Linked DNA regions of Canis lupus familiaris. The protein of the gene in region 5 interacts with the protein of the main gene of each other region in a pairwise test. Links are inferred from orthologs where the notes say so. Each region holds a gene or a part of one and is shown on either strand. Other genes may lie near its edges. The genes, in order: MYT1L, DPYSL3, CEP57L1, DNAJC7, DISC1, PPP4R1 and MPPED1.

Evidence for each region.
Region 1: the proteins of DISC1 (region 5) and MYT1L interact in a two-hybrid assay, tested with the Homo sapiens proteins (2 studies listed by BioGRID and IntAct). The link is inferred for Canis lupus familiaris from reciprocal best matches to the Homo sapiens genes DISC1 and MYT1L.
Region 2: the proteins of DISC1 (region 5) and DPYSL3 interact in a two-hybrid assay, tested with the Homo sapiens proteins (2 studies listed by BioGRID and IntAct). The link is inferred for Canis lupus familiaris from reciprocal best matches to the Homo sapiens genes DISC1 and DPYSL3.
Region 3: the proteins of DISC1 (region 5) and CEP57L1 interact in a two-hybrid assay, tested with the Homo sapiens proteins (2 studies listed by BioGRID and IntAct). The link is inferred for Canis lupus familiaris from reciprocal best matches to the Homo sapiens genes DISC1 and CEP57L1.
Region 4: the proteins of DISC1 (region 5) and DNAJC7 interact in binary tests that used the Homo sapiens proteins (3 or more experiments, as listed by UniProt). The link is inferred for Canis lupus familiaris from reciprocal best matches to the Homo sapiens genes DISC1 and DNAJC7.
Region 6: the proteins of DISC1 (region 5) and PPP4R1 interact in a two-hybrid assay, tested with the Homo sapiens proteins (2 studies listed by BioGRID and IntAct). The link is inferred for Canis lupus familiaris from reciprocal best matches to the Homo sapiens genes DISC1 and PPP4R1.
Region 7: the proteins of DISC1 (region 5) and MPPED1 interact in a two-hybrid assay, tested with the Homo sapiens proteins (2 studies listed by BioGRID and IntAct). The link is inferred for Canis lupus familiaris from reciprocal best matches to the Homo sapiens genes DISC1 and MPPED1.

The regions. Positions count from the first base shown.
Region 1 is NC_049238.1:1,007,926-1,011,736, forward strand, and holds part of MYT1L (myelin transcription factor 1-like protein), read right to left. Parts: intron 3,289-3,811; coding exon 2,311-3,288; intron 1-2,310. UniProt on the Homo sapiens protein: Transcription factor that plays a key role in neuronal differentiation by specifically repressing expression of non-neuronal genes during neuron differentiation.
Region 2 is NC_049223.1:40,967,753-40,972,145, forward strand, and holds the start of DPYSL3 (dihydropyrimidinase-related protein 3), read right to left. Parts: upstream 2,918-4,393; coding exon 2,504-2,917; intron 1-2,503.
Region 3 is NC_049233.1:66,472,948-66,476,758, forward strand, and holds part of CEP57L1 (centrosomal protein CEP57L1), read left to right. Parts: intron 1-558; exon of another isoform or gene 559-979; intron 980-2,376; exon of another isoform or gene 2,377-2,421; intron 2,422-2,688; coding exon 2,689-2,766; intron 2,767-2,879; coding exon 2,880-3,115; intron 3,116-3,811. UniProt on the Homo sapiens protein: Centrosomal protein which may be required for microtubule attachment to centrosomes.
Region 4 is NC_049230.1:20,751,587-20,755,397, forward strand, and holds part of DNAJC7 (dnaJ homolog subfamily C member 7), read left to right. Parts: intron 1-669; coding exon 670-823; intron 824-1,360; coding exon 1,361-1,525; intron 1,526-2,366; coding exon 2,367-2,458; intron 2,459-3,811. UniProt on the Homo sapiens protein: Acts as a co-chaperone regulating the molecular chaperones HSP70 and HSP90 in folding of steroid receptors, such as the glucocorticoid receptor and the progesterone receptor.
Region 5 is NC_049225.1:8,197,791-8,201,601, forward strand, and holds part of DISC1 (disrupted in schizophrenia 1 protein), read right to left. Parts: intron 2,475-3,811; coding exon 1,480-2,474; intron 1-1,479. UniProt on the Homo sapiens protein: Involved in the regulation of multiple aspects of embryonic and adult neurogenesis. Required for neural progenitor proliferation in the ventrical/subventrical zone during embryonic brain development and in the adult dentate gyrus of the hippocampus.
Region 6 is NC_049228.1:75,667,114-75,671,526, reverse strand, and holds the start of PPP4R1 (serine/threonine-protein phosphatase 4 regulatory subunit 1), read left to right. Parts: upstream 1-1,513; 5' UTR 1,514-1,615; coding exon 1,616-1,622; intron 1,623-1,815; coding exon 1,816-1,860; intron 1,861-2,271; exon of another isoform or gene 2,272-2,676; intron 2,677-3,932; exon of another isoform or gene 3,933-4,074; intron 4,075-4,413. UniProt on the Homo sapiens protein: Regulatory subunit of serine/threonine-protein phosphatase 4. May play a role in regulation of cell division in renal glomeruli. The PPP4C-PPP4R1 PP4 complex may play a role in dephosphorylation and regulation of HDAC3.
Region 7 is NC_049231.1:23,113,106-23,117,689, forward strand, and holds the start of MPPED1 (metallophosphoesterase domain-containing protein 1), read right to left. Parts: upstream 2,870-4,584; 5' UTR 2,745-2,869; coding exon 2,718-2,744; intron 2,174-2,717; exon of another isoform or gene 2,144-2,173; intron 1,594-2,143; exon of another isoform or gene 1,532-1,593; intron 1,028-1,531; exon of another isoform or gene 880-1,027; intron 1-879. UniProt on the Homo sapiens protein: May have metallophosphoesterase activity (in vitro).

The DNA.
Region 1 (3,811 bases), on a different chromosome or scaffold from region 5:
TTACTTTGTTTTAGCTCAAGATTTTGGAAAAGATTGCTCATTTATAATTTAAATCATTTCAAGGAGATCGTGTATAAACGAGAACTGGTGCAATAAGGCAACAACGAAGCTGGAAATAAAGACTGTTGGTAAGCTATCCGGTTGTAGGAATTGTCCGTTGGCCGTGTTGGTAAAATGTCATATCATGTATATTTTTAGTAAGGAGGGCATTAATTTCCTTGGCCCACTCTGGTGTCTCTGCTTGGTTTTATTTAATCGGTTCTGAACGTACCTACGGATATCCTGAGAAAAGACCTGGGAACGGAGTGGAACACACGTACGGAATGGGAGAGCTTGGCTCAGAGGAAGGAATCTACAGAAACAGGTAGAGTCAGGGGTCAATGCTTCTGACTCATCGGGAAGATCCATACCCCAACCCTTCCCCCGTTTCAGGGAAAAGCACATCTCAGGTTTTACTGTTTGTTCCCACCTCAGCCCCATCTGTTGAAGGGAAGCAAGCAGTTTGAATTCCATTTCTTGCAAAAAAAAATAAAAAATAAAAAAATAAAATAACAATGACAAAGCAAAATGAGTAAGGGTCTACAGAAAGCTGCTGGGTTTAAGGGAACCACAGAAGCCAAAGAAGCCAGGGCGACATGGAATCTGCGATGCCCCGTGAGCCCACACGTTCCCGAGGTTCGTTGCCGCATCCCTTGCTGCCAGCTCCACCATGAAACCCGCTCTACCGACTTCTGACACGTGAGGCCTCAGTCCAACTGAGCCGCCCCGTGAGAAAGGACACTACTTTCTTCCTACAAGTGTCTGGTTCCTATGAGTCTCAAACATCCAGCTCAAACGTCCTGGTGGGTTGCACTATGGTTGTGCGCACACATGCTGCTTCACGGTCTTACTGCACCCAGAGCAAGCTGACGCTCCGCTGGGCTAGCGCCTGTCCCCTTTCCTCAGATGCCGCACCCCCTGGAAGGTCCCCCTTCGCCTCCCGAACTGAAACGGTGGTCAGCGCTCAAGCACCTGCCGCGTCGAGAACCCGACGGGCCTCTGGCTAAGGTTTGTCTCCAGCTGGGCTTCGGTTAGAGCGATGCCACAGGAGCGATGCACATGTACATTGAGAGGAGACTACACACCTAGGTCACAACGGGAGAAACTGGTTCTCTGATCATTTGAGGTTTCCATAGCAACTGATTTTCAAGCCAAATTCCTGAACCTCAGCATCAGATCCACAGTGAGGAAACCCAGTCTTTGCAAGGAATAGAACACAAGGTAAGACAGAGGATGTGCTTTGTTACTAACGTGGAAGGGTTTAAGGAATTACCAGCTTCCTTTTTGAAATGGCTTCTGACTTTAGGTCTTGTAACCGAGATGCCCACAGTCTCGAGGCTCCTCGTGGGGTTAAGTCATAACCAGCTCGTATCACAAGTGGACACGGTTCTTATTGCAAACACAGGGCCAGTCATCCATTCATGTCTAAACACTCCGTAGATGCACTGACTCTGTGTTTGCTTTATGTAGGAAGATGCGTGAAAATATGGGCCTGTAGAGCTCATAAATGAAAATCTGCTGAAACTATCGTGTTGGGTGGTTTTTGAGTATTTCGCCATAAAGTAGGCGCCATAACCGTTTCCACAGAATGGAATGGAATCAGTGAGCGGGAATGAACATCCTGAAGGAATAACTATCGATCTCAGCTCAGGACACACCACGCCTTGCATAGCAAACGGCTCCCATTACTCACTATCTTAAGATAATTAATGTGCAGTCACTGCCCTTCTCTTACGTTATAGGTCATTCTGTTTCTGTTCGATTTCTATGAGGGCATGTTTTCTATGGGGGGGGGAGGTGTTTCATCAATAAGTGTCACTTGGTTGATAATTTTATAAATCATGATGCCACCTACCCGTTCCGATACATAAAATACATGTCTCATCCCTGATTGGCTACTCGTTGCATGAGCCCTCGCCACTCCACATAGACTCTGCTTCGTGTGTAAGAACGCAGGCTCACGCTAACGTTTCCTATCACGCGCTGTGTTTGCGCGCTAGCCCTGTCTTTCCAAGGCAAGCCTCTCCCGCTGAAACGTGTCACTCATCTGCTCTGATGGGACATTGGGCTGCTTTGTGCATCTCCCAGACAAATATTTTATTCGCTCTTCAGAAACACAATCACAAAATGTAATTCTGTAATCAGCTCTAAAGAGATGGGCATCAGTGATAAGACTTAGCGTGATGCACACTTCCTTTGTGGAGCATCATTGGCATCTTTCACCCTAGCTCCTGTTTTCATGAGGCAACTTACGTTAGGTAGAAATATTACCTTTACCATAGTATGGCTTTTTGACATGGCTGTCACTGGACTTAGGCTTCCTCTCCTCCCCGGGAAGCTGTCTTGGCGACTGCTCCTCGTACGACCGCACATTGTCCCGCCTTCCGGCCTCCATCGCCATCTTGTCCCTCATGGCCTTCGCTCTCTCTGTTTCCAAAGCAATGGCTTTCTCCAAGAGGGTCAGGTTTCCCTTGGTCATGTCAAACACCTCCTCAGACCTGTCCGAGTTCACGGAGGTGGTGTCGTCGTCTCGTTCGTGATACCCATCCTCCTTTGCACAGCTGGAGAAAGTTCTAGACCTGGGGCTCAGCTGCTCCTCGAGCCGCATCAGGTTCATCATGTCGGAGTAATTCCTGTCCGGCGTCCTCCCCGCGAAGTCGTCCTCTTGCCGGACGTGCTGGCGGATGTTCATGTTCTGCTGCTGGCTCCTGTCCTGCGGGTTGGTCTCGCTCAGTTTCCGAGCCAGGTCGAAGCACTGGTTCCGCAGGCACTCCAGGCTGCTCAGACACACCTCCTCGTCGCTCTCCTCCACCATTTTGTCCATGAGCCCGTTGTTCATGGGCTTGCCCAGCATCACGTAGTTCATGTTCCTGCTGTCCTGCTGCGACAGGGAGTCTGCGTACGCTCTGTCGTTGAGGTTTTCCGCGAGCACCACCCCGTGTCCCTGGGCCAGCAGCTTCAGGGAGTCCACCGTCTCTCTCACCACGTCGCTGTCCAGGTCCAGGCTCAGCTCGCTCTTGCGGCCCAGCGCCTCGTTCCGATCGCTGCCGTCCTCCAGGCTCGTGGAGGTGTTGCTGTTCATCTCCGACTCCGTTCTGGCCCGGTAGGCCGCGTCCTCGGCGATCTTGCCGAGGTTCAGCAAGGACTTGGCCACCAGCTCATCGTAATTATCGTACTCCTCGTTGTTGTTGTCGTCCTTCTCCGTGTCTTGCATTATTCGAGAATTGTGACAGCTCATTTGATGGTCTTCTGCAAAGAAGATAAAAAAAAAAAGGGACAAAAAAGAAAAGAAAAGGAAAAAGTGGCTAGAACTTGAAGTTTAGTGGCAACAGCATGGAAAGCAAGTCAATGGCACGTCAAAACCCTGCTCACTGTGTACTGGAGACGAAGCCCCGCGTGTGGCGGGGCTGGAGCTGTGCCACCGAGGGCACGGATTGCGCTACAGCCGGGGGCCCGCGGGAAGCCCTTGCTAGGAACTTTCCATTTCCTTAATTATTCTTAAAATGAGCCAGTCTATGTGGTATGTGTAATTCTAAAATATGAATTTTTCATTCTAAATTTTACGAGTGACTTTTATCTTTTATTGGCTTTATTTATTTGCAGCCCAAGCAGATGCGTGATAATTACACTCATCGTATTACCAGGCTTTCTAAGAGTTCATGAACTTGACTCGTTACCGACTCTTAGACAGATGTTCGCAGCAATTGCTTTTAAATTGTTTGTTTTCACAGTGATGCTCAGGAACCACAGTGGAAGGCCTCGGGCTCTGGCA
Region 2 (4,393 bases), on a different chromosome or scaffold from region 5:
AGTTTATAGAAACTAAAAGTAGGCAGATTTGGGCTTAATTCAATTTTTTTTAAAGTGAAGTTTTCCAAAGTTGCTTCATGAGGTAGCATGCTCCCTGAAAATGTGGTATTTATTTATTTATTTTTAAATATTTTATTTTATTCAATCATGAGACACACACACAGAGAGAGAGAGAGAGAGAGAGAGGCAGAGACACAGGCAGAGGGAAAAGCAGGCTCCATGCAGGGAGCCCGACGTGGGACTCGATCCCAGGTCTCCAGGATGACACCTTGGGCCAAAGGCGGTGTTATAAACCGCTGAGCCACCCCGGCTGCATGGTATATTTAAATGTGGTATTTAAAAGAGTGGCCAGAAGGGACATCTGTCTGGCTCAGTTTCTCTTGTTTCTCTTGATCTCAGGGTCATGAGTTCAAGCCTCACGATGGGCCTAGAGTTTACCTTAAAAAAATATTTTTTTAATTCACAAAAAATAAATAAATAGAGGCTAGATAGTTATTGTGGATCTACGTAGCAAAAAAATATATGGCTTAATGAAGGAGGTTTAATGTACCAAACATTCATGGAGCACCTCCAATGTGCCAGGCATTTCTGCTACAGCGATAAACCCAAACACCCAATCCCTACCCTCAAGGAAATAGCCATTAAGTACAGAAGTAGATAAGGTCTGCTGACTCTTCTAGCAGCGTGATTCAACCAAATTAGAGATAATAACATGGCCGGCATGAAGCTGACAGTAAGCCCGAACTTACAAATAACCACGTAGCACAAGAAATCCTGCTGATGCTTAAGTTGTAGCATTATTTTTCAATTAGCAGCCAAAAGTACAGGGTTTGCAAAAGGAAGGAAAACGAGAGAATTTCTGGGTTTACAGGAGGAACATTTTCCCTTTCTCTAGTTACCATTCTTAAATCCTGCAAACCAGGCATATTATCTGGCTTACATCAGGGGTGTTCCAGCAAAGGGAATAGCACTGACTCACAGCAATTGTTACCGACCTTTTCCATCACTTCTCCCACCCCTTAGAGTCAGGAAGGGAAGGAACATTTCAATCCCCATCAGCTAAGACCTGAAGAGAGGCAATAATCTTCCTGTAACACCATTCTTAAGTTTAGAAATCAGCCACAGCTTTTCCAAAATATCAGAAGTTTCTTGTGAAAGGGTTATTTGAGCAGAGCCTAGAGGAATCCCACATTCTAAGGATGATATGAAAATCACACACTAAGAGAGTGATTCCAAGGGACGTGGACATTGTTTCCCAAGGGCACTCTTTTTCCCCTAGTGGTATTAAAGCTTTGTTTGTTTTTTCAAACTTTCGAAAACCAAGCAGTGCAGAGATATGCTTTCCTTTGAGGGGCTCGCTGCATTTGAATGGAAAACCTTGAAAATCTCGGTTAAGCATTAACTGTAATTGCTCTGAGGCAGACATTTCCATTTTGGGTTATTATTATATCAGTATTTGCACAGAATACTATCCGTGGATGGATTTTGCTGCCGTTATCTACACAAGAGTGACGTATCTGATTACTATTGTTCCCCAACTCAAAAGCATCAGTTTGAACTTTGAATACTCCAGCCCTGCCCAGAGCCTGAATTTTCTGAAAGGTGGTTCTGATTTTCTACGAAATAAACAAATAGATGAGAGCAAGCTGGATCTCAAGGCCGTATCTCCAGTCGATTCAAAGTGGCATGAGTTTCTCAAAAACACACATACAGAAGAAACTGGCTTTGGCACATGTAGGAGCGGCAGAGACTCTGCAGCTTGTGCTAAGTTTAAAGTGCACCCTTAGTACTCTGGCCCGTTTTCAAAACTAAGCGATAGTCTCCCAGGGACAGCTGGATCCCTGTGCAGCACCCAGTCTTGCAGCAGCAAGCTCCGTACACAAATGTACACGTTACCAACACAGATGTGAAATGTCCATCCAGGACAGGAGAGAGGCATTCAGACTGGGCTGTTTAGTCTAGTGGCTCCACACCCAAAAGTTTCAGGGACACAGAGGATGTTGGAAGAGTGAGAGGGGAGACCGCCCGTCCCGTGTGTTCATCCGGGGCCTATGGAGTTTGCCCTCTGCCCTGGTGACCCGGGTTGAGATTTAATCTAGGGCCAGCGTGGGGCGAAGCCCATTGTGCTGGCGGCTACCCGGGCGGAGAGGAGGGCTGGGCACCAGCAAGCCTTCCGGGCGGTGCGGGCCGACACACCCACCCAGACCCGCAGGCCCAGGGGTGGGGCGGGGGGCGCGCCCCGGTCCCGCGCGCACGGGGATGCTGCTCCCGGGGGCCCGCGCGACTCCGGGTCCCCGCTCGCAGGTCGCGCTGTACGCTCCGAGAGGATGCTCTCCTCCTCCTCCTCCTCCTCCTCCTCCTCCTCCTCCTCCTCCTCCTCCTCCTCCTCCTCCCCTCCTCCTCCTCCTGCAGGGCCCCCGCCCCCCGGGCGAAGTGAGCGGGAGAAAAGTTGTGCCGGGGTCCGGGGACGCGGGCAGGGGCGGCCGGCCCCGGGCCCCCCTACCTGGTCCTTGGGGCCGAGGTTCTGCAGCACCTCCTTGCCCGTGGCGCTCCGGATCTCCACCCCGGCGGGCGCGGCGGGCGCGGCGGGCGCGGGCTCCCTGGCGTCCTCGCGGCCCTGGCCCTGGCCCTGGCCCTGGCCCTGGCCCTGGCCCCGGCGCGGGCTGTCGGCCTCGAGCCCCGGCCGGCTCCCCGCGCCCCGGCCGCCGCCCTGGCTGCTCCGGGGGGTCTTCGCGCCCCGCTGCCCCACGCTCAGCGCATCGAAATCCAGCGTCTTGCTCTCGAAGGCGCCCTCCACGCTGCAGAACATGCCGCCGTACTTCTGCCGCGGGACCTGGTCCGTGGTGCCGGGCCGGGCCAGGTACACGGGCAGATCGTCCTCGTGGGCGCTGTCCCAGCCCCTCCGGCCCGAGGCCATGGCTCGGCGCGCGGCGGCCCCGCGGCTCGGCTCCCCCGCAGGCGGAAAGGGCAGCCGCCGGCAGCGTGCGCCGAGCCACAGTGACTGGGGCGGGGGGAGGCGCCTGAGCGTTCGCGCCAGAGGCGGCAGTGCAGCTCCGGTTCCTGCCGGGCCGCCGCCAGCCAGCGCGCGCTCCGCCGGGGACCTGCCGCCGCCCGCCCCGCCGCCCCCCGCCGCCCGCGCCGCCCGCGCCGCCCCCGCCGCGCCCCCGACCCCGGCGCCGCCCCCGGGTCGCCGCCCGGCCGCCCTGCCCCAGCGCCAGCCCCGGCTCCCGAGGACCCCGGGCCGCACGCGCACACGCGCACTAACCCTCGCCCCCTCGCGGACTTGCGAGGTCGCCTCCCCCGCGCAGGCCTGTCCGCCCCCTGGGACCCGCCGCTCCAGGTGGCTCGGCCGGTGCGCCTCGAAGCCGCACTCGTGTGCAGCAACACCTCTCGCACGCGCGCACACGCACACGCACACGCACAGGGGTTAGCCGACTTAGTCCCGCACTTTGCTTACGCGTAATCCCGGGCTTGCCGCCTCCTCCTCGTAGAGCGGCCTCACGGTGGTGCCTCGCACACCCGCACCCTCAAACCAAGACCTGCCGAACCTGTTGAAAGACACCCTCTTACTTCGCTGACAGTGACAAAAGCCCGTCCCCGACTCACAGGCAGATCGACGCTTCAGCTATTCTTACCTCGTGTTTGGGACCCCAGATGGTGCTTTCTGCCCCAGAATTTGCCTCACAATTAGTTTGCCTGTCACAGACACGCACACACGTCCCTAGATTGTAAGACACCACCGATACCCCATCGTACAACAAACCCGAGGCTAATACCTCGCACACTCCCTCGAGCTCAGCTTTGCCTCAGTCAGAACCCTCCACGGGGGCTCACACATAAGCTAGGATTTAGCTCAAAAATACACACGCTTCGGCCCGCCGAGTTCCCTCAGTTCCACACACAAGTTACTTACGCGGATGCCTGCTCTCACAGCTCACTCTCCTCCCGGTGTCCACCCACATACACCCTAAACCACGCTTTGCCAGTAAACACGGAGCTGGCGACCGGCAGAGCTGGCACGGCCTCCGCACACACAGCCGACGTCCGGAACCCCCGGTGCCCACATTAGACTAGGCCTCCTCTCGGAAATTCACTCATTAAATTCCTTAATTTATTCTTTTTAAGGAGTTTTATGTATTTATTCATGAGAGACACAGAGAGAGGCAGGCTCCATGCAGGGAGCCCGACGTAGGACTCGATCCCAGGACCCCAAGATCACCCCTGGGCCCAAGGCAGGCGCTCAAACGCTCAGCCACCCAGGCGACTCCTTAATTTATTCATCCAACGTGAACTGAATGCCTACTATGCTCTTCACGAGATACTGGAGTGACAGTGTTAAAACAAGGCAGATGGGGGCCCACCCTCAGCTAGAGTGTAGTCCGCAGCCACCCAC
Region 3 (3,811 bases), on a different chromosome or scaffold from region 5:
GCCTGCTTCTCCCTCTGCCTGTGTCTCTGCCTCTCTCTCTCACTGTGTGCCTATCATAAATAAATAAAATTAAAAAAAAATAAAAAATAAAAAAAAATTCTGAATCTTGGGGGGTGCCTGGGTGGCTCAGTTGGTTGAACATCGGACTCCATTTCACCTCAGGTCATGATCTCAGGGTCATGGAATTGAGCCCTGCATCAGGTTCAATGCTCAATGCAGTTTGCTTGACATTCTCTCCCTGTCTCCCTCAAAAGAAATAAAATAAAATATAAATAAATAAATACATTCTTTTTAAAAAATTCTGAACCTTAGGCAACTCTTCTTTTATAAATACTTTTTAGTTTCTAAAAGCAGTTATTGTCCAAAACTGGAAGAACTTGTCTTTGTCAGATAAGCATGTAAATTAATGGAGGAAAATAAACAAAAAATAAAATCTAAAAATATGAAGCCTGATAAGGGAGCAGCTAGCAGCTGGATAAGAAAATCAAAAAAAGGAAGGAATGGTAATTTAAATTTTATTCCAGCTATAATGCAGGTAATTCTGACTTTATAGTAGCATCATGTGACATATTTCTGAGTCCATTCCCAAGATACTCTATTATACTTATCTCTGTCTATTTCATAAACCCATGTAACCTTTGGCACTAGAGGATCACATAACAGTGAAAAAATGGATAAAAGAATTTTAGAAATAGTTAAAGCAGAAGATCATGATCTTAGAATATTAAGACAAATGCTACATTACTGTTAATATTTGGCTGATAAATTCTTCTTTTAAATGTAACCTTAGTTGGTTTGAAAGAGTAGACTGTAGGAAAATGAATTGTCAAAAAGAATACACCACTTTGATATCATTAGGTTGCATAATTGTCACTTGCTAATGAAACATATAATCCCCAACAGGACTTGGAGAACATTGTGCTAGAGGGTCATGGGCCAAATCACTAAGTTCCTTATTAATCCATTTCAGTGCCACAACCTGTGCTTTTTATCTGGCTCCTCACCTCAGTATGTGCCCAAAGGCTGAGCCAAAACTCTTGATTATCCAAGCACAAGAAAGGATTGTCTCTTCATCTCACATGCTCTGCCAGACACAGGCACAGAGGGATCAGGACCTCCCTCAAGCTGCCCCTAGAACTGAACTCATAGAAATAAATTCTGTAATACTTTATAAAAGAGTTACTAAATGACACAACATTTGATAACAACACAATAGATCCTAGAAGCAATTTTATGTAATTTAAGGTCACCAGACTGTATTTGTTAGAATGACAGTAGCATTTGTCTGTCAGTTCAGATCTTGGGAACACAGAAACTCCTTAGATCAAAAAAGTAGCAATTACTATTTAATTTGAAAAGTTAAATACTGGGCAGCCTGGGTGGCTCAGCGGTTTAGTGCCTGCCTTCAGCCCAGGGTGTGATCCTGGAGACCCGGGATCAAGTCCCACATCAGGTTCCCTGCATGGAGCCTGCTTCTCCCTCTGCCTGTGTCTCTGCCTCTCTCTCTCTCTCTCTGGTCTCTCATGAACAAATAAATAAAATCTTTAAAAAAAAAAAAAAAAGAAAAGTTAAATACTATCAATAAATACAATGAAAAATCAATGACAACTCTGAAGATCAAACTAAATCCAAATCTAAGCAAGGCCTTTAAGAATCTTTAAGAATTCATAAGTGGCATTTTTCTTAAGACAGAGAAGAAAAAAGATACCTGTATATCTTGCTACTTCTAATAAAAAATGAAAATACTGGGCAGTCCCAGTGGCTCAGCGGTTTGGCGCCACCTTCATTCAGCTCGAGGTGTGATCCTGGAGGCCCAGGATCGAGTCCCACATCGGGCTCCCTGCGTGGAGCCTGCTTCTCCCTCTACCTGTGTCTCTGCCTCTCTCTCTGTGTCTCTCATAAATAAATAAATAACAATCTTTAAAAAAAAATTAAAATACTTATGTACTTATTTGGTCCAGATGGCTTTGCTGTCAGTGATTAAACTGTAGTATATCCATAATGTGAAATACTACACAGAAATAGAAAGAATGTATTGATATTTACTGGATCCTATTGAAGGACATTTGGATTGTTTGCACTTTTTAACTATTACAAATAAAGCTGTGATGAACACTTATGTATAGGTTTTTGCATAAACCTAGGTTTTCATTTTTCTGGAATAAATGTCCAGGAGTGTAATTGCTGGATCATATGATAAGTACGTGTTTAGTTTTGCAAGAAACTTTATTTTTTTTTTATTTCTTTTATTTAAATTCAATTAGCCAATACATAGTACATCATTAGTTTCAGATATAGTGTTCAATAATTCAATAATGTAGTGTAAGAAACTTTCAAATTATTTTCCAAAGTTGCTATATAATTTTGTATTCCTACAAATAATGCATAAGCAGTCTGGCTTTTCCACATCTTTGCCAACATTTGGCGTGGTCACTATTCTTTATTTTGGTCATTCTGGTAGCTGTATAGTGCTATATCATTGTAACTTGCATTTTACTAATGGCCTATGATTTTGCAGATCTTTCTGTGTGTTTATTGCCATCCATATGACCTCGTCAGTGAAATGTCTATCCATATTTTTGCTTATTTTCTATTAGAATGTTTACTGTTGAGTTTTGAGACTTCTTCATATCATAAAAGTCTTTTAAAACAATTTTTTGTTTACTTTTTTCCTTTGTCAATATTTAGAAAACTAGATGTTTAAAGGAACGACTACCTCAGCAAATTTATTCAAAGTCTGGATCACTGCCAATTGTGGCTAAAAAGGTGAGAGGGGGGAAAATGAAGATACTTGTTCAGACACACTCCTTTGTTGTAAGTGCTATTTAAATGCCATGAGTCATTTGAAATTGTTCCTAGCTATTTCTTTTCCCCTAAAGTCTTCCAGTGCCAGCCATTCTGTGAATACAAGTGTGCAAAGCCTCCTGCAGGTAACACAACATTATGGGCCACATACCCATCAGAAACTTACTGAGCCTCGATGTCTCTACAAGCCTACTAGAACAACTTCCCAGGGTAAAGCTGAACCTTCTGACTCAAAACATTCCATTTCTATTGGTGACAATTTGTCTGAACTTTTGATGGCAATGCAGGATGAGCTGGACCAAATGAATATGTAAGTATTTTTATTGTTTTTCAGAAGTAGCAAGCCATATAGTATCTTTTCTCTTCTCTGTCTTAAGAACAATGCCACTTATGAATTCTTAAAGGCCTTGCTTAGATTTGGATTTATTTTGATCTTCAGAGTTGACACTAATTTTTCATTGTATTTATTGTTAGTATTTAACTTTTCTAGTTAAATATGTAATTACTATTTTTTTGATCTAAGGAGTTTCTGTGTTCCCAAGATCTGAACTGATAGGCAAATACTACTGTTATTCTAACAAATACGGTCTGGTGACTTTAAATTATAACTCACAAATGCTTTTATTTTATTTTTTTATTTTTTTTTTTCACAAATGCTTTTAAAAGCAAGATTCTCCTTTGTTTTTTTATAATCCTTTTAATTAAGTGAAATTTCATTAGACAAGTAGGAAAGCAATTCCTTGTTTTCAACTCTGACTGATCTGAATGATAAGTCTTGAAGCATCCATAGTAAATAAGATTCTGAGTGGTATACATATTTTAAGCCCCAAGTTTAAGTATATATTCAATAAAAATTCCGGAAAATATGAGATTTGGGTAGCCAACTAGTTGAACTAAGACCTCTGTAGAAGGTATAACTGGTTCTCCTGACAGTATTCCTTTCTGTGGACTATCACCAAATCTAGAGACTTCTCAGGCAAATATTTTTATAGCTGCCGTTCTTCCC
Region 4 (3,811 bases), on a different chromosome or scaffold from region 5:
TGCAAGTTTGCAAGTTCTGTAAAGGGCAGTAGTAAATATTTTAGGCTTTGCGGGTCATATAGTCTCCATCGAAATTATTCACCTCTGCCACTGTGGTGCAGAAACAGCCATTGATAATAGATAAATGGATGATGTGGCTAGGTTTCAGTACAGTTTGATTTACAGAAACAGCGGTGGGCAGGATTTAGCCCTTTGGGCTGTAGTTTGCCAATCTCTGTTCTAATAATGACTGAGACACATGAAGTGTATTAAAGATAAATATAGGGCAGCCCGGGTGGCTCAGCGGTTTAGCGCTGTCTTTGGCCCAGGGCGTGATCCTGGAGACCTGGGATCAAGTCCCACGTCGGGCTCCTGCATGGAGCCTGCTTCTCCCTCTGCCTGTGTCTCTGCCTCTCTCTCTCTGCATGTGTGTGTCATAAATAAATAAAATCTTTAAAATAAATAAATAAATAAATAAATAAATAAATAAATAAATAAATAAATAAAGATAAATATAGGTCATTTATTTGGGGAAGGTATGGGAAGAGCTTATTGGGATCTGTTGACCTTTGGATGCTTTCCATACTAGACACATGGTCAAGGGAAAAATTAGTGATAGTAATCACAAATGATAGTAATGGTAGGGAGATCCAAACCATGGCTGAATGTTCTCCTCTCTGGCTATTGCAGTGACATTTTACGAATGGATTCTACCAATGCGGATGCTCTGTATGTACGAGGTCTTTGCCTTTATTATGAAGATTGTATTGAGAAGGCGGTTCAGTTTTTTGTACAGGCTCTCAGAATGGCTCCTGACCATGAGAAGGCCTGCATTGCTTGCAGAGTAAGTTCTAGGCCCCAGATCTGAGTAGGAAAGAAAACTTCCTTTTTGAACCTGTGAATCAAAAATGAAAGGTTCTAGGATCACATGAAATGTGATAGCTCCTTTTCCCGCTTTGCCAGGATGCTTGGTCTTTGATTAGAAATTATTTCAGAACTACGTTTATTTACTTAAAAGTAAATGTGATCATGTAGGGTCAGATCCTTCTAATACCTAAGTGTGCTTTTTCTTATTTTCTTCCCTCAGTGAAGAAAAAATAGTAATGCTTATTCTAGGGAGTGGAGGTAAATCCTGGGCAAACAAGTCTCAATGATATTCTGTTGCAAATCTTGGTTTCTCCTGTCCACTCTGTAGGAAGCACCAGTGAGCAACAAAGAGCCCAGATGGTGGGGGTACGGGCGGAGGGGTGGGTGGTTGTGGTAAGGATCAGTGCGAGGCTAAACAGCTGTGATCTGAGAAATCAAAAATAGACTTGGGCCTCTTGTACAGTTGTCTGGGTTTCCTGGATATGAACTAACTTCCCCTTGCTTTTCCCTGTAGAATGCTAAAGCACTTAAAGCAAAGAAAGAAGATGGGAATAAAGCATTTAAAGAAGGAAATTACAAGCTAGCCTATGAACTGTACACAGAAGCCCTGGGGATAGACCCTAACAATATAAAAACAAATGCTAAACTCTACTGTAATCGGGGCACGGTTAACTCCAAGGTAAGCACTTGGTCTGGGTCTTGGGGTCTATGGAGATATGTTTAAGGGACCTCAAAGAGGTCTTGGGGAATCTGCCTAATGAGGGCAGCCAGATGAAAGGAGAGAAGATGATTTTTGTTTGAGAGTTCAGCTTGTTAACAAACTTCCTTCTGAGAGGCAAGCTTTTTTGCCTTTTCCTCGAAATTGAAGGGCACTTGAGGGACAGTTTGGAAGGATATTCCTACCTGTTCTTCCTCAAGATCCCTTTCCTCCACTAAGAGAATGCCAGGGGCTTTGGCATCATTTTTAGGCAAATTTTATCATTGTTTTTGGCCTAAGCAAGTGATTATTTCTTTCTTAGGAGTAATTTGAAAGAAATTAGAGTATGAGGCAGGCTTAATTTTTTTTATCCAGCATAACTGATGGTCACCATGCTCGGCTGGAAACAGTCTGCATCTCCACTGTAGTCCTGCATACTCTAAGAAACAACAGCAGGCCCTTGCTCTTATAGTATTCCAGTAGTTAGAAATCAGAGTAATTCATACCCCTCTCATTGGCCTTTGGGAGAATGGAGGGCAGGAACCACTATTTCCCTGTCTTGTTTGGGCACTACCCTGGAGTGGTAGAGGTGGTTTATCCCTGCACAGAAGTGTGCCTGACTTCTATCCTGTAGAAGAGAAACCGGTTTCGAATCTGGCGTCCTTAGCCCTCTGAGACACTAGCTTTCTCAGTGACCGAGAGTGTGTGACAGTTAGGGGGCTAGCACGACTGATCGTCTTAGAATTCTGAAGCCGTGCTCACAGCCTCCGGGCTCCCTCAGTCCGCAGAGATGTGAAGTATGACTGCTCTCTCTCTCCTGAAGCTTAGGAAACTAGATGATGCAATAGAAGACTGCACGAGTGCAGTGAAGCTCGATGCCACTTATATAAAAGCCTACTTGAGAAGAGCTCAGTGGTGAGTGCCTCCGGCGGGCGAGGGGAAGAGGGAGTTGCCGCTGGCCTGCCAGGGGAATTGCACTGTGGCTGCTGAAGCAGACCCGGGGATGTTGTGAGGTCATTTGGTCCTTCCCCCTGCCTCTAGGTGGGATTGTTCCAGCTCTAGACTATCTTTATAGACCCCCAGCGGAGGAGATTGCACAAGCTCCCTCAGTCTCCCATGACTGTGTCTTACGCCCCTCACGGTCAGTAAGTTTCCTCTGATGCCTGACCCAAATTCCTTTTGTTAAAGTTTAAATCCGTTTCCTCTGGAGATTGTATTTTGTGTTGTACACTTTTGCTCTAACTTGGCACAGTGCTTGGCACACAGTAGGTGCTCACTCAATAAATGTTTTTGTGGGATGAGTGGATGGTGCTTGGAAGAGGAAGAAATAAAGTATCTCTTGGAGACAGTTGAGAGTTGTGCTTATCCTGTATGTTCTGGGTTAGGGAAGACCGTGTTTCAGTTGGAAGGGATTTAATCTTGCTCAGCCTCTCAGCAGTATCAGGAAGTCCCTTTTGAAGTAGCTCTGTGGGCCTTGGTGATTCATGAGCCAGGGTATGCCTACTTAGATCTAGTGTCCCGATTGGCCTTCAGAGTCAGCACACTCCCCAGCTTGTACATCCAGAGTTTTCTGCAGATAGGAACCTCAGTCAGGGCTAAGAGAGTCCTCCCCCCAAATCTATCTCTTTTTATTTCAGATTATTTCCCAGACAGAGAAGAACATTCTATCTTTAAAGTTCCAAAAGGAAGACCTATTTGTTGTATACTAATCCTCCAACACTCATCCTGTTTCTTGTCATAAAATGTCCAGTCAGAGAACTGATGTTACTGATGTCTGGCGAGCCCATCATTCCTTAAGCTCCTCTGTCTCATCAGTGGTGGCGGGTGTGGCCTGTCTCCCATTTAGTTGGCCCAGAATTATCCACATTTTTTAAAAGTAGGAAAATTACTACTGTGTGTGGTGTTTTTTTTTTTTTTTTTTTTTTAAGTGGAATTCTAAGTAGATGAGTAAGTCCATCAGAGACATCCACAGAATTGTATTATAGACTCTGTGAGACCAGCTGTCAGTCACCTCTTGTTTGCAAACCACTGGCAAACATGGAAGCTTTGGAAGACAACACATACCCTCCGACCCAGCTAAAGACTCATTTTAACAGATACAAAATGCTATATACAAGTTTACTGTGGTGTTATCTGTAATAGCCAACAAAGAGAATCCCCTAAGTGCCTGGTGGGGCAGAGGTGGCTAGGTACATGACACCATGTCAACTCAAGGGACACTCTAGTTTTAGAACAGGGAATGGGTGAGGAGAAAATTCTTGACTTTTT
Region 5 (3,811 bases):
CTTGGATACCATCCCGAGAAGAGCAATGAGCCACCAAAGGTTTCAAGCCAAGGAATAACACTATCCCACCAGTGTTCCGGAAGATAACTCTGCTGGCCATCCGGAGAATGAACTGGAAAAGAGACACTGAGAAAGGCAAATATGTCAAGAATCTCTTACAAAACCCACGTTAAAAATAACAAGGACTTGAACCAGGGCAGAGGCTGCGGCTGTGAGAGGGAGGTTAGCTGCAGGACTATGAGGATGAGAGAGGTGTTGAAGATGCTTGCAATTTCTCTAAAAAACTGAACGGATGCTCTTAATTAAAATCAACAAATATATGTACCAAGACTAGGGCCCTTTAGAACAGGTTTGCTGGGGAAGACAATGACATCAATTTTGAACACATCTAACTAGAGGGTTCTGTGCATCACCTGGGAACAGAGCCCTGTCTGCATATCCAGCCTGGCTTCACAATCTCCTTGAGATATAAATCATATGGCTGGGGTCCCCAAGGGCTGGCACAGGGCAAACAGGGACAGGGCCAGGAACATCAGGCCACACATAAAGATTTGAAAGTAAATGAGATGCAATTGCTGGAATGAACATGACCTTCACATTTTCAGGTATTTCCACCAAATGCCTGATGAGTAGCTGTTCTACTTCCTTGTGGATGTGTACAAATGTCAGCACACATACACACACATCATATGCACACAGAAGGAAAATGCAGTCACATAGCCCAATGGGTCAGCCACAAAGCATCTCAGGCTGGGTTTCTCTTCGGATTTTTTGGAGGTAGAACAACCCTGCCTATTCACAGTTGTAACCACCTCTCTGATAACAGGGTGCACAACACACTCATGATGCCAGAGTTTGCATGTATACAGCCCCCCCTAGCTTCCAAAAGCCCTTAGCTTCTCACTGCAGCCACAGAAAATCCCATGCAAGGTTACCATCTTTAAATAAGGAAACTGAGAGCCTGACCAAAGTAATGACCAGGAGCAAAGTCTCCTGGCTGCGTCAGGCAGGGCCCACTGAGCAGGATGAAATGCAAGGGCTGCAGGAAATGCAAATGAAGCTCAGCCTCACCCCCAATATGGTGCGTCAATCTCCATCTTCACACCACTCAACCACAGGCCAGCCAGCCCCAGCTCCCCTGCCTCTGCCCCCAATTCCCTGTTTCAAAGCAGAGCTGGGCAGAGCTAACCACACATCACGTAGGCCAGGAACTGCAGAGGAACCTGCTGCTCAACACAGAGCAAATCTGAGCATTCAAGTGACAGAGAAGACAAGAACAAGAACAGATTTGTGTGCAAACAGAAAGAGAAGAAACAGAACTACGGCAACATCTTTTTGCCGTCAGTTACAAAAGGAGCTGCTGCAGCTCCCAGAGGGAAGTCGGTGGTCAACCCCAGAACTACTCATTTCCTGCCTTCTGCCCAAAGCTGGCCTGAGCTCGTGACACTCGCGGGCCCCCAGAGGCTGGGAGACACCAACCTCCAGCTGCCTCCGGTCGCTCAGCAGGCAGTCCAGCAGCACAGGCTCGCACCTCCTGAGCAGCGTCTCCCAAAGGTGAGCCTCCCCCAGGCTGCTGCCCTCAGACCGCCAGGGGCCTGGGGAGCAGGAGGAGGCAGTGTCCGTGTCCAACAAAGAAAGCATGTCACACTCCGGCCTGTGGCTGCCCCCTGTGGTCTGGGCAGAGTCCGCCAGGCTGGGAATAGTCTTGAGAGTGAAGTGGGGAGAGAAGAGTCGAGGATGTTCGTGGGGCCTGTCCATGCTGGCAGCCTTCACTTCCGCCTCCTTGGGGCTCTGACAAGGGGTCTCAGCCTCTCTGGATGGCAGGCAGCCTTCAGCTTCTCCACGTTCCCCAGCAGAGCCAAGTGAGAGCCGTATGAAGCTAAAGCTTGACGTAAAGGCATCCTGAGAGCCAGCAGGGGTTGGGGGGGCCTTGGGGACACTTCCAAGGCTGTAGCTGCTGCCACTTGCCTCCTCTGGAGACAGACAGCCTTTTGTCCAGGTACCGCCTCCAGCAGCATCCCGGCCAGGACCTGGAGCCTCAGAACTGTCCATGGATGGGAGCTCCCCCTGCCACCCAGTGTCCCCAGGGCCACACGACCTGGCTGGCCTGGCAGGTGGCTTGGTGCCAGCTCTGAGCTGAATCCCAAAGAGCCCCGAGGGCCTTCTCACAGGGGTCAGAGCCAGGCCTAGGTAGCCCCCAGAGGTCGGAGCCGAGGCTGCTGTGCTCCTAGGAACAGGGCTCCCAACCGAGGGGCCTCGCCACTGGCCTCCAGAATCAAGGCCACACCGTCCGGCCCTGGACTCAGACTGGTGGGACTCCTCACCGCACGCCCCTCCCTGGGCCTGGAACGGAGCGGCCACTGCTGGGTAGAGGAACCCGATCCGGGGCCCAGCTGCACTTCTCATGTAGCCCGGCCTCCGTGCCAGCCGCCTCCTCCGAAAAGACGCTGCAGGTGGTATGCAATCCTGGCTGCCTAGGAGGAAAAGAGAAAACAGCACCATCAACACGCAAAGCTCACTGGCTCAGCTGGAACTGCATTTGGAGAGCATCTTAGGTTTAGAGGTCGCCGCTCTGTGTATCTGTCAAAGGGAGATGCTGGCTCAGTGGTCACGGGGCCAACCCGGGACGAAGATTCTGACGATCTTCTCCAAGTGTTTGCCTGGAATGCACAGAAGAAACACAGCGTCTCCGCTCTTCTGTTTAGCAGAGCAGCTGGCGTTGCTGTGAGTTATGCCAGCATGTCAACATGCCCACTGGAGTTACAACCTCGCCGGCTCCTTCTGAACCCTCTGGCATCTTGCCTATTGGGCTCTTAGGCACCGCAGCACTTTTATCCCAGAGTGGGCCTGAAAGCAAACAATTGGGAGGCAAATGCCAGCACACTCCTCAAAACAAGATCCGATCGCTTATTCTAGCTCCTTATTGAACAATATGTGAGTTTTCATTATCTGAGCTCTCCGTGTCCCAGCACGTCTCTGGACCATGGAGAGCCAGCTGGGGCACAATTTATGGCCATCAGTTCATCTCTCACAGTGGACCACGGGAGGCCCTGCTTGATGTGCTCAACAAACCAGGGACTATGTCCCCCTCGAGCTCTGCAAAAGGAATAGAAACAATAAAAAATGCTGATAGCTCTCAGGCAGGATTGTATAGCAGTTGAGAGCAGACTCTGGCACCTCATTGCCTGGCTTAAGCCCTGGCTGTGCCATTGCTGCCTGTTCACCTCCACAAATTACTTAACCTCTCTGTGCCTCAGCTTGCTTCTCAGTAAAATGGAGACATTACCAGTACCTCTCTCGCAGGGTGAGACTTAACTAAATGAGTCACTAGAGGTAGACAGCCTACAACAGGGCCTAGCACACATAAGTGTGCTGAAGATGTTAGTTATTATTTCTCTATTGCACAGCACATTGGTACTCAGAATATGGGCATCATCTACATTAATTTCATTTGCTCCCTACCAAAGTTATGCGAATCAACCAGACTAGGAAGTATAACTTCCTTAAAGGAACTTCCTGTTCCTTCTACAGTTAAGGAAACTGAGGCTCAGAGAAATTGGCATTCAGAAACCCCTGCAAGTGACTGAGTGACCAGCATCACAGTCTCCTGACTCTCCTGACCCACATAGTGTTCTCACCATGGAGCCCCGCCACACCATGAATCAGATGAGATGGAAAGCATACAAGTAAGACCAGGCAGTGCTGAACGTGGCTGTAGGTATACTACAGCCCATGGTGAGGAGTGGAACAAAGTTTCATGCCAGGCCCACACATCCTACCCTGTCTCCAGAACTTGGACAGCCTCCGGATC
Region 6 (4,413 bases), on a different chromosome or scaffold from region 5:
AGGGTCAACTGCATAGTGTCCTCCGTGAGGACCGCAATGCAGAAAGGGACAAGCTGATAATTCAGAATTTCCTCTCTCCAAGACACCAGGCCAGCCAATGTGGTATCCTTCAAACGATTGGGTGTTTTGTTCTCCACTTTGGGAGATTACCATTTTTGAGGCCCGTAGGTGGAGCTGGAATAGATTAGAGTCTCGGAGATAGGACCGTGTGGAATGGGAGTCAGAAAACTTGGGTTCAGCCTCCACTTTGCACTTGAGCTAATCCCTTAATACATGTTAAAAAAGAAAAAAAAAAAGCGGCGATAATAAAATCTGTAATAGTGATTTCAGTCGTGCACATGAAGTGCTAGCGAAACTATTTAAAGTGAAAAAAAAAAAAAAAAAAAAAAAGCGGGCAGCCCGGGTGGCTCAGCGGTTTAGTGCCCAGGGCCGGGATCGAGTCCCACGTCGGGCTCCCTGCAAGGAGCCTGCTTCTCCCTCTGCCTGCGTCTCTGCCTCTTTCTCTCTTTCTCTGTCTCTCATGAATAAATAAATAATTTAATTTTTAAATTAATAACTTAAAATTTTTTTAATTTAATTAATTAAAATTAAATTTAATTATAAATTACAAATTTAATCAATAATTTAAAAAAATAATTTTTTTAAAAAAGGGTGGGGGGAGCTAATCGTAGGGCTGTTCCCGGGGCACCACGTCCCAGGTAGCAAGTGCCCTGCTGGGTTGCTCACGCTCGTCGCCGGCCGCGGTAATCCTGGCGCAGGCTCCCCCTCCACCGGCACACGGGCTACCCCCCAAGAAAACGGCAGGACGGGGATCCGAACCCAGGCCCGCGCGCGCCCTCGCTGGAGCTCTTCCCGCTGGGTCAGCGCTCGACGGGCAGGCCCGGGGGCGGGCGGCGCCGGGATGAGCGTGTCCGTCGGCCGCCTGGCGGCAGGACCCCGCGCTTTGTCCGCCGCCGCTGCGCCAGGGCCCCGGCGCGCGGGGAGGCGGCGCTTCCTGCCCCCGGAGGGTGGGCCCCGCGGCCTCCGCCGGGCCTCGGATCGCCGACGACGTGCGTGCAGCCCCGGGGGCGAGCCCGCCGGGAAGGGCCGGGCAGGGCAGGGCCGGGCAGGGCCGGGCAGGGCCGGTGGGCGAGGCCGGTGACCCAACAAAGCGGGCCGCGCCGCGCCGCGCCGCGGGAGGCCCCGCCCGGGCCGCGCTCCGGGCACACGCCGCAGGGTCCCGGGCGGCTCTCGGCGTCAGGGCGCCTCGGGCCCAGGGTGTGAGCGCGCGCCGCCGAGCCGGGAGCGAGGGAGGCGGAGGAGCGGCCGCCCGGGAGCCGCACGGGAGCGGCGCAGAGCGGCCGGGCGAGGCGGGGCGGGGCGGGGCGGCGAGGGGCGGGGCCAGGCCGGGCGAGGCGGGGAGGGGCGGGGCCAGGTCGGGCGGCGAGGGGCGGGGCCAGGCCGGCCCGCGGCGCCCGCCCCCCCGCGCCCCGGAGCCGCCCCGCCCGCGCGCGCCCCCGCCGGCCCGGCCCTCCTGCTCGCCGCCCCGCCCGCGCGCGCGCCCCGGCTCCCCGCTCGCGCCGCTCCATGTAGCCCCGGCTCCCCGGGAGACGGAGGAGGAGGGGGCGACCACAAGATGGCGGGTACGTGGCCCCCTGGCCTCCGGGCGCGGCGGCGGCGGCGGCTGCGGCGGCGGCGGCGCCTCCCCCCGACTGGCGGCCGGCGCGGGGTCCCGGCGCGGGGAGGAGGCGCCGCGGGGCCGGGAGGGCGGGCGGCGGGGGCGGCGCGCCGGGTCCCGGGGCGCTGACCGGCCTTTCTTCTCTCCCCTCGGCGCAGACCTCTCGCTGCTCCAGGAGGACCTGCAGGAGGACGCGGACGGATGTGAGTGCGCCGGCGGCCCGCGGGGAGCGGCGCGGGAGGACGGGCGGCGGCGGCGGCGGCGGCCTGCGCTCGGGGCTCGGCGCTCGGGGCTCGGCGCTCGGCGAGGCGTGGCCCTGGGCCGGCGGGGCCGCGAGCCGCAGGAGGGACCCGCGCTGGGCCCGCGGGCGGCGGCACTCGCGGCGTGTGGGCCCGGGGAGCTCGGGGGCGCGGGCCGACGTGTGCGCTGGCGCCCGGCGGGCCTCCGCGGACCCCAGCCGCCGCGCCCGGGCTTCGCCTTGCGGAGTCGCCGGCGAGTGTCAGCGGGCGGCCGGCCGCAGGGAGCCGGCCCGGGCGGCGCACCCGGGAGTCCCCGGAGCTCGGGGCGGTGTTGGGATGCCGGACCCCCCCTGTGATTCGTGGATTCCGGGAAGGCTGGAAGGTGTGGCCTTAGCTGGAGTTCCTAGCGCTGGGGAGCTTACTGCTCTATTGCAGATGTTCGCGGGGCACCCAGACCTCCCAAAATAGGACGATTTCAGCTTTTCCGTGAGAAAGGGAAGTTTTAAAACAGGCGATCTTTTGTTTGAAAAAACAAAACAAGACAAAAAAAAAAAAAAACAAAAAGGAAAGGGGAGGAAAAAAGAACTTTGACGTTGTCTGCAGAAGACTGTCAGGAAGGAACTGGTATTTAGAAAGGAATTTGTTTATTTCGTGTGTGCCTAAGCATCCGAAGATAATTTGGAAATTGTTCTGCGTGGAAATGATAACCACGGTAGAATTTGTGGCGTATTTAGGGGGAAAGCCTGCCCGTTGCTGAGATTTACTGTGGCTAATACCTGGGTAAGTAATTCAGGGATGGTTGCATTCTGAAATTGCTCTTCTAAATTCTGTGTGGTTCAGCCTTAGCGCTGTGTAATGTGGTTTCCCTTGGCCGAATTAAGCTTCATTTTCGAATTCCTAGGTTTTGAGTGAGGTAAGGGGAATTTACCATTCAGAAGGGTTCTCTAAAAGGAGTATTTTTAAAGCAAACGAACCATATGCAGAATTAACTTTCGCTAACTCTGGGTTGGTGTTTTTGGTGTTTTTTGTGAAGTACAAAGCTCTCTCACACAGGGAGCAGTACTAACATAGTGAGGGACAGCTTCTACACTTCACCTAATGCTTTATGTTAGGCCACCTGTCTGCCTGCTAGTGAGTTGAAAAGGCCATTCAAGGCAGCTGGTGATTGCTTGCAAAGTTAAGGTTGGTAAGGTGGCTCCCATCGTTATCTCAAACAGGGGCTTCTCATTTCTGTGATTAGCTTCAAGACTTTATAAATAGAAGACACAGCAGTCAGCAGGGGTTTAGGAATGCACGCAGCAAGAACTTTTGCCCCTTCCTTTATTTTCATTTCTTGTGACATGCACTCTTAAAGGATGAGCTAGTGTCCCGTTTCCTCATTGAGTCTATAGAAGCCTAGTCTAGAAGGGAAAGCACACCTGTGAAGAACTCAACAATGATTTATTCATGAGCTGCAAGACTTCTGTGTACTGAGGATATAGCTCTGCAAAGGACGGCCACAATCTATGCCCTCTAGTGGTTTATTAGCAGTTTTAATATAAGTGTGATGAAGAAGATATGAGAGGCAGCATAACAGTAGTTAACAGACAACACTCTAGAGCCAGACTCTTGTGTTCCAGTTTTGTTATTATCATTTTGGACAGACCCCTGCAACTCCCTAAACCTCTGTATGCTCACGTTTCATCGTTTGTAAGTAAGCATACTAAGTATTGCCTATTTAGAGTTGTTTAGAGCCTTACATAAATTAAGATACGTAAAGCGCTGAGTACTTGGTAAATACTGTTAAGTGGTGGTGGTTATGAGTGAAGAAGGGAAGCTTAGAAGAGGAAATACTGATGTTGAACATTACAGTACAGAATTAATATAATTATAGACGTTGCTAATGCTTGCAATTAACTTATTAAAGGTTCTGTTAGTTCCTAGTGTGTTTTAATTTAGGATAAAACATTACACATCTGAAGGCATAGTTTATTTGCATATTTATGAATTGATTTAAGACTTCGTTAGAATAATTGCATATTTTTTTCAGTTGCTAAGGTCTTTACAGGTGCTACCTTTACCTGGAATATTTGGGAACAAAGGATCTTTGAACATGTGGCCAGTTGAAGGACCACTTGCTGTCTGTTGTGAAGGGAGAAAGAATGAGGAGGAAATCTGGCTTTGATGCCTAGGCCAAGGGTAAGAGAAATGGAGAGAAAATGAGAAAGCTTGTCACCTCCTGGAGAAGCTGGAGAAGGTAGAGAGGACCAGAGATGTTAGAGAGAATGAAGCTTGGGCTGCCCTTACAACTAGAAAGTATCGTATGAACTTGATTTTCTGTCTCAGGCAAACCCTGGGATGGAGGCCCGCCTCCAGGGTACTGTATACCAGGTCCTGCTGCTTCAGCCCAACTAGGTCTAAGTCGGTGCTCGTGATGGGAAGAAATTACGTTCTTGCCGAACTCTAGAATCTTGGTTGTCTTTCCTAAAAGCAGAACCTAGACTAAGAAGAGAGAAAATGTACAGGTGATCTGCAGCT
Region 7 (4,584 bases), on a different chromosome or scaffold from region 5:
CGTGAAGCACAGTTTATTATGCATGGCTCCCGCACCACGGTCCCCTGTACACCGTGCCCAGCTCCAGAATGCCTCCCAATCACCACCGGCTGGCTTTCAAGCCCCGGTGTGCTCTCCACCGCCAGAAGCCTGCTTCAGCCCAGCCAAATCCGCCACCCCCTCCCCAAATGGTCTCCCAGTGCCTTGGCTCCCATGGACCAAGCCCGACTTCCAACTTGGCTATGGCAGTCGGCTGGTGGCCTCAATGACATCCCCCAGAGCATTTTAGCCAATGTGACTAATTATTCATGAAGTTGGTGTATTTATTTATTTATTTACTTATTTATTTATTTTTGCAAAGACCAGCCAGGGTACTGAGGCTCCCCGTGTGGCTGGTCCCCACTAACAAGTCTCCCCCCACCATGCAAGTCCTCTCCAACCGGCTCAAACATCCACCAGCCCGCCCACTTTTGTTCCCCAGTTTAATTTCATAATTGTTTGGCACTGAACAAGCTCTCCTCTGGGCGGGTCAACAGGGACTTTGGAGATGGGAAGGGAAGGCAACCAAGCTACTGGAGGGGAACTGGGAGAGGTCTGACCCAGCGTGGGGGGAAACGCATCTCCCGGAGGTCAGTGGGACAGACTTGGGGGCCAGGTCCCGCATGGGAGCCTCTGGCCATCCGGCCTGAGTGGAGAGAGGATGTAAGGGAATGGGAGATGGTGGGTCTAGGACCCCCCAGCCGTGGTCCGCCACAGACGCCTGGACACATCAGCTCTCAGACTGACCCTCCTCTGTCTCCACCTGGACCAGGGGAGGCTGTGAGTGAATTCACTGTCCTATAACAAGTCCCAGAATAAACACACAAGAGACAGAACTGCTCCTTAGCATGGAAATATTACCTGTGAGGGCTGGGACCTGCCTGGTTAGCCGCTGAATCCTCTGGACCAGGCACAGAGCAGATAGTAACAAATGTGTGTGCAACGAGAGAGCGGAGGGATGGATGCATGCATGTGTGGACGCATGGACGCATGGACGCGTGGATGCATGCGTGGATGAAGTTTCCAGCAACGCCCGGCCAAAGTGGCCACTAGCCCCGCATTAGTGACCCCCTCCGTCGCCCCCAAGTGCCGGCAGGGGCTCCGCGGCGCACAGTAGGCTCTCAGCGACCGGGGGCTGCTATTGTTAGGACCCTCATCATCACTTGCGCCCCGCCGGTCCGCTCCTTCCTCCCGCAACTCCGCCGGCAGCCAGCAGAGACCGGCGAGCCGGGGAAAAGTTTCGCCGCCCCTCGCCCCGGTCCGAGCCCAGCGCCCCGGCCGCGGCCCCTCCCGGCTCCCCGGCTCGGCCGGCCGGCGGCGGGGGGACACGGCCCGGCGCCCGCACCCGCCACGGGCGGCCAAAGTAACTTTGCGGGCGCCCCTGCGCCGCGCCGCGGGCGTCACCCCGCGCCCCAGAGGGTCCCGGCCGCGCCCGCCCCCGCCCCGCCCCCGGCCCCGGCCCCGGCCCCGGCCCCGGCCCCGGCCCCCGCCCCCGCCCCCGCCCCCGCCCTACCTGGCCCCGGGCTCCTCTTCGGCGGCCGCGGCGGCCGCGAGCAGCAGCGCGCACGGAGGGAGGCAGGGGCCCGGCTGCGGGGAGGGAGGCGCGCAGGGGCGGGGGCTCCTCCGGCGGCGGCCGCCGCGCCGCGCGTCCGAGGCAGCAAGTGGGAGCCAGACTCCTCCTTCGGGGGGCGGGGGGCGGGGGGCTCCCCGCCGCCCCCTCCCTCGCCCGCCGCGCCGCTCCGAGCCGCCCCGGCGCCCCTCCCGCCGCCGCCCTGCCCCCCCGCTCGCTCCCGCCTCCCCCGCCCCGCGCGCCCCGCCCGCCGGGGCCCCCGCCGCGCCCGCCAGGCCTCGGCCCTCGGCCCCCGCCCGGCCCGGGCCCCGCATCCCGCCGCCGCGGGCACCGGGGAGCAGCGGGGCGGGCACCGGGGGGCGGCGGGGCGGGCGGCCGGGCGGGGGAGCGGGCCCGCGCTGCGGAGGAGAGCCGGCGGCCGCCCCGCCGCGCCCCGCGCCCCCTCCGGCCCGCCCCCCGGCCCCGGCCCGGCCCCGGCCCCGGCCCCGGCCCCGGCCCCGGCCCCGGCCCGGCCGCGCGCGGGGTGGGCGGGGAGCGGGGCGGGGGCGCTCTCACCTCCGGATCCGCGGCCGCCGCGCCGGGCTCGGCTGCTGGGGCGCGCGCGGCTCCTTCCGGGGCGCCGCGGCCCCCGCCTCCGGCCCGGACCCCCTCCCGAGGCCGCGGGGGCAGCCGGCCCCGGACCCCCACCCCCCATCCTCCCCCCGGCTCGCAGGCTGCGGAGGCCCCGCTCCGCCGCCTGCGCCCCCATCTCTTGCTCCCCGGGGTCCCAGGTCCCCAGTCCCAGGGTACAGACGGTGGCCGGCGGAGGCTTGACCCGGAGCGGGGCAGGTAAGCGGGTCAAGGCCACGGAGCACCTAGCCCCCGGCTCGAAGGTCCTGCCTTGTCGGGGAGAGGGGAGAGCGACACCCCCCGCAGGCGGTGGTCCCACCCTGGGGAGTTTGAGAGGCCCCCGTGACCTCCAGGCCCTGCCACGGGTGGAGGGCCGCGTCCACAGGGCCTGTAGCCAGGGCACGGCTCAGGCCTGGACCTCCCAGACAGAGAGGGAGGTGAGAAGGGGGGTGTGGCCCCTCAGAGGCCCATCTAAGGCACCCCAACAATGTTTATGGGTCCCCTCCCCCAACACACTCACATCACACGGTGGCTCCCACTCCTGCATTCTTCCAGGCTTCAGACTCAATATGAGGACACCCTGTGTGGGCGCCTGGGGCCTGGCCTGCCCTCGGGGACAGCCCAGTCCAGGAGGGAGGCAGACAGGGACCCAGGAGAATCCCCTGCACCAGTGCCGGAGCAGGAGCAGGAGCAGGAGCAGGGACCGCTACCTGGTGTGGCTTCTTGGAGGTGGACACACCCCAGCTGAAAAAGTGTATGCCAAGGAGAGAAGGTATGGAAAAGGCATTCCAGGCAGAGGGAACAGTGCATGCAAAGGCCTTGGCATGTTTGGAATGGCAGCTTCAATGGGACTGGAGAGAGGAAGTGGGGGGAGAGGGGAAGGAGGGTGGGGGAGGGGAGGAACAGGAGCCCCATCAGGAAGAGCCTTGGATGCCTGCCTAAGGGGGTGGACTTTATCAGGGACAGTGGGGAGCCACAGCAGGTTTTGAGCAGGGGCATGCCTCGGTCAGGTTTCTCATTTGCCCGGGCAGAGGAGCAGGAGGGGCCACTCTGGGAGATGAAGGAAGCCCTGCTGGGGCCCTGAGGCCAGCAAGGGGGACAGAGAATGGCTGAGGGGACCTCAGGTGAGCATCTGCCTCCTCTTCCTTGTCTGTGGACCTGAATTCTCCACTGCGGCCTGGGGCCATCCTGGGGGTAGGGGGCAGAGGCCAGGCTAGAAGAACAAACTCAGCCAGGCATGCGGGCAGGGCAGCTGGAACACCCGGCCGGCAGCCCCTAGACTTCTCCTCAAGAGCCGGGAGCCGCCACTCGGTCTCCCCGCAGGGTCCGTTCTGGAAAGCGGGTTCCCCAGTGCCCTCACGCCCCCAGGCAGGACCCCCACCCCCCACGATCACTCGCTCTATCTCTCGGGTCCACGCTGACCTTTGCAGATGCCCAGCTTCGGTGTGCCTGCCTAGTGAAGGTCAGGGCCCCAGGGAAGGCTCTCCCCAAGTCAAGAAGAGAAGAGTGTGGGAGCAGTCAGATAAACACACAGGCCTGCTGCCGAGGGCAAGGCTTGCTCAGTGGCCCACGTCTGCTGTCAGCCCCACTGCTCAGGGGGCTGCAACATCCAGTGGACACCTGTGTCGTCCTGGGAACCTGGAGGTGGCCAGGGATACAGGGGGCACCCAGATGCAGCCCCTGCCATCCAGCCATGGCCAGTGAAAAGCCAGAGGGGAGATGTGCCTAGAGACCCGCCTGGAACCGAGTGTGGGCTGGGGGAGGGAGAGATGCCCACCCTGGGAGACGGAGCAGGGCTTCCCGGAAGAGGGCCTGAGGCTGAGCCTGGAAGAAGGACTGGGGAGATGGCCTGATGGGCATTCCCAACGGTAGAATTGCAGATGCCCAGGAGGAGATGTGCAGGGAGGGCAGGAGGGTGTAGACTCCCTAAGGATGCAAGCAGGCCCTAAGACAGGTCGGGAAGGGCCTTGAGGGCCACGCTCAGCAGGCCACGGGGCCCCTGAGCTCATTCAAACAAAATGCCCTGTGGTGTCTTGTGACCAGCGCGCCAGACTGGTACCTACCGAGCAAATGGAGGATGAGATCCACTGACCTCAAACCCCTCGTGGCACGCAGAGCCACCCAGCTCCTCCAGCGGGGCTGCCCAACCCCGTGGAGCATAAAGCAGCCTCCTGAACCAGCAGGGAGCATCTTTCTCACCCTAGGGCTGCAGGCTTCACCAGCACATCATCTCCAAGGAAAGTGGTCCATCCACCTGCTGCCTGCCAAAGACAGAGCCACAGCTTGGTAGTGGCCTCAGGAGACCCTGGAGGACATGTGGTCTGGGACAGTGGAGAATTGTTGGTCTTGGTCCCTGTGGAGAGAGCAGAGAAATTCCTGTGACACTC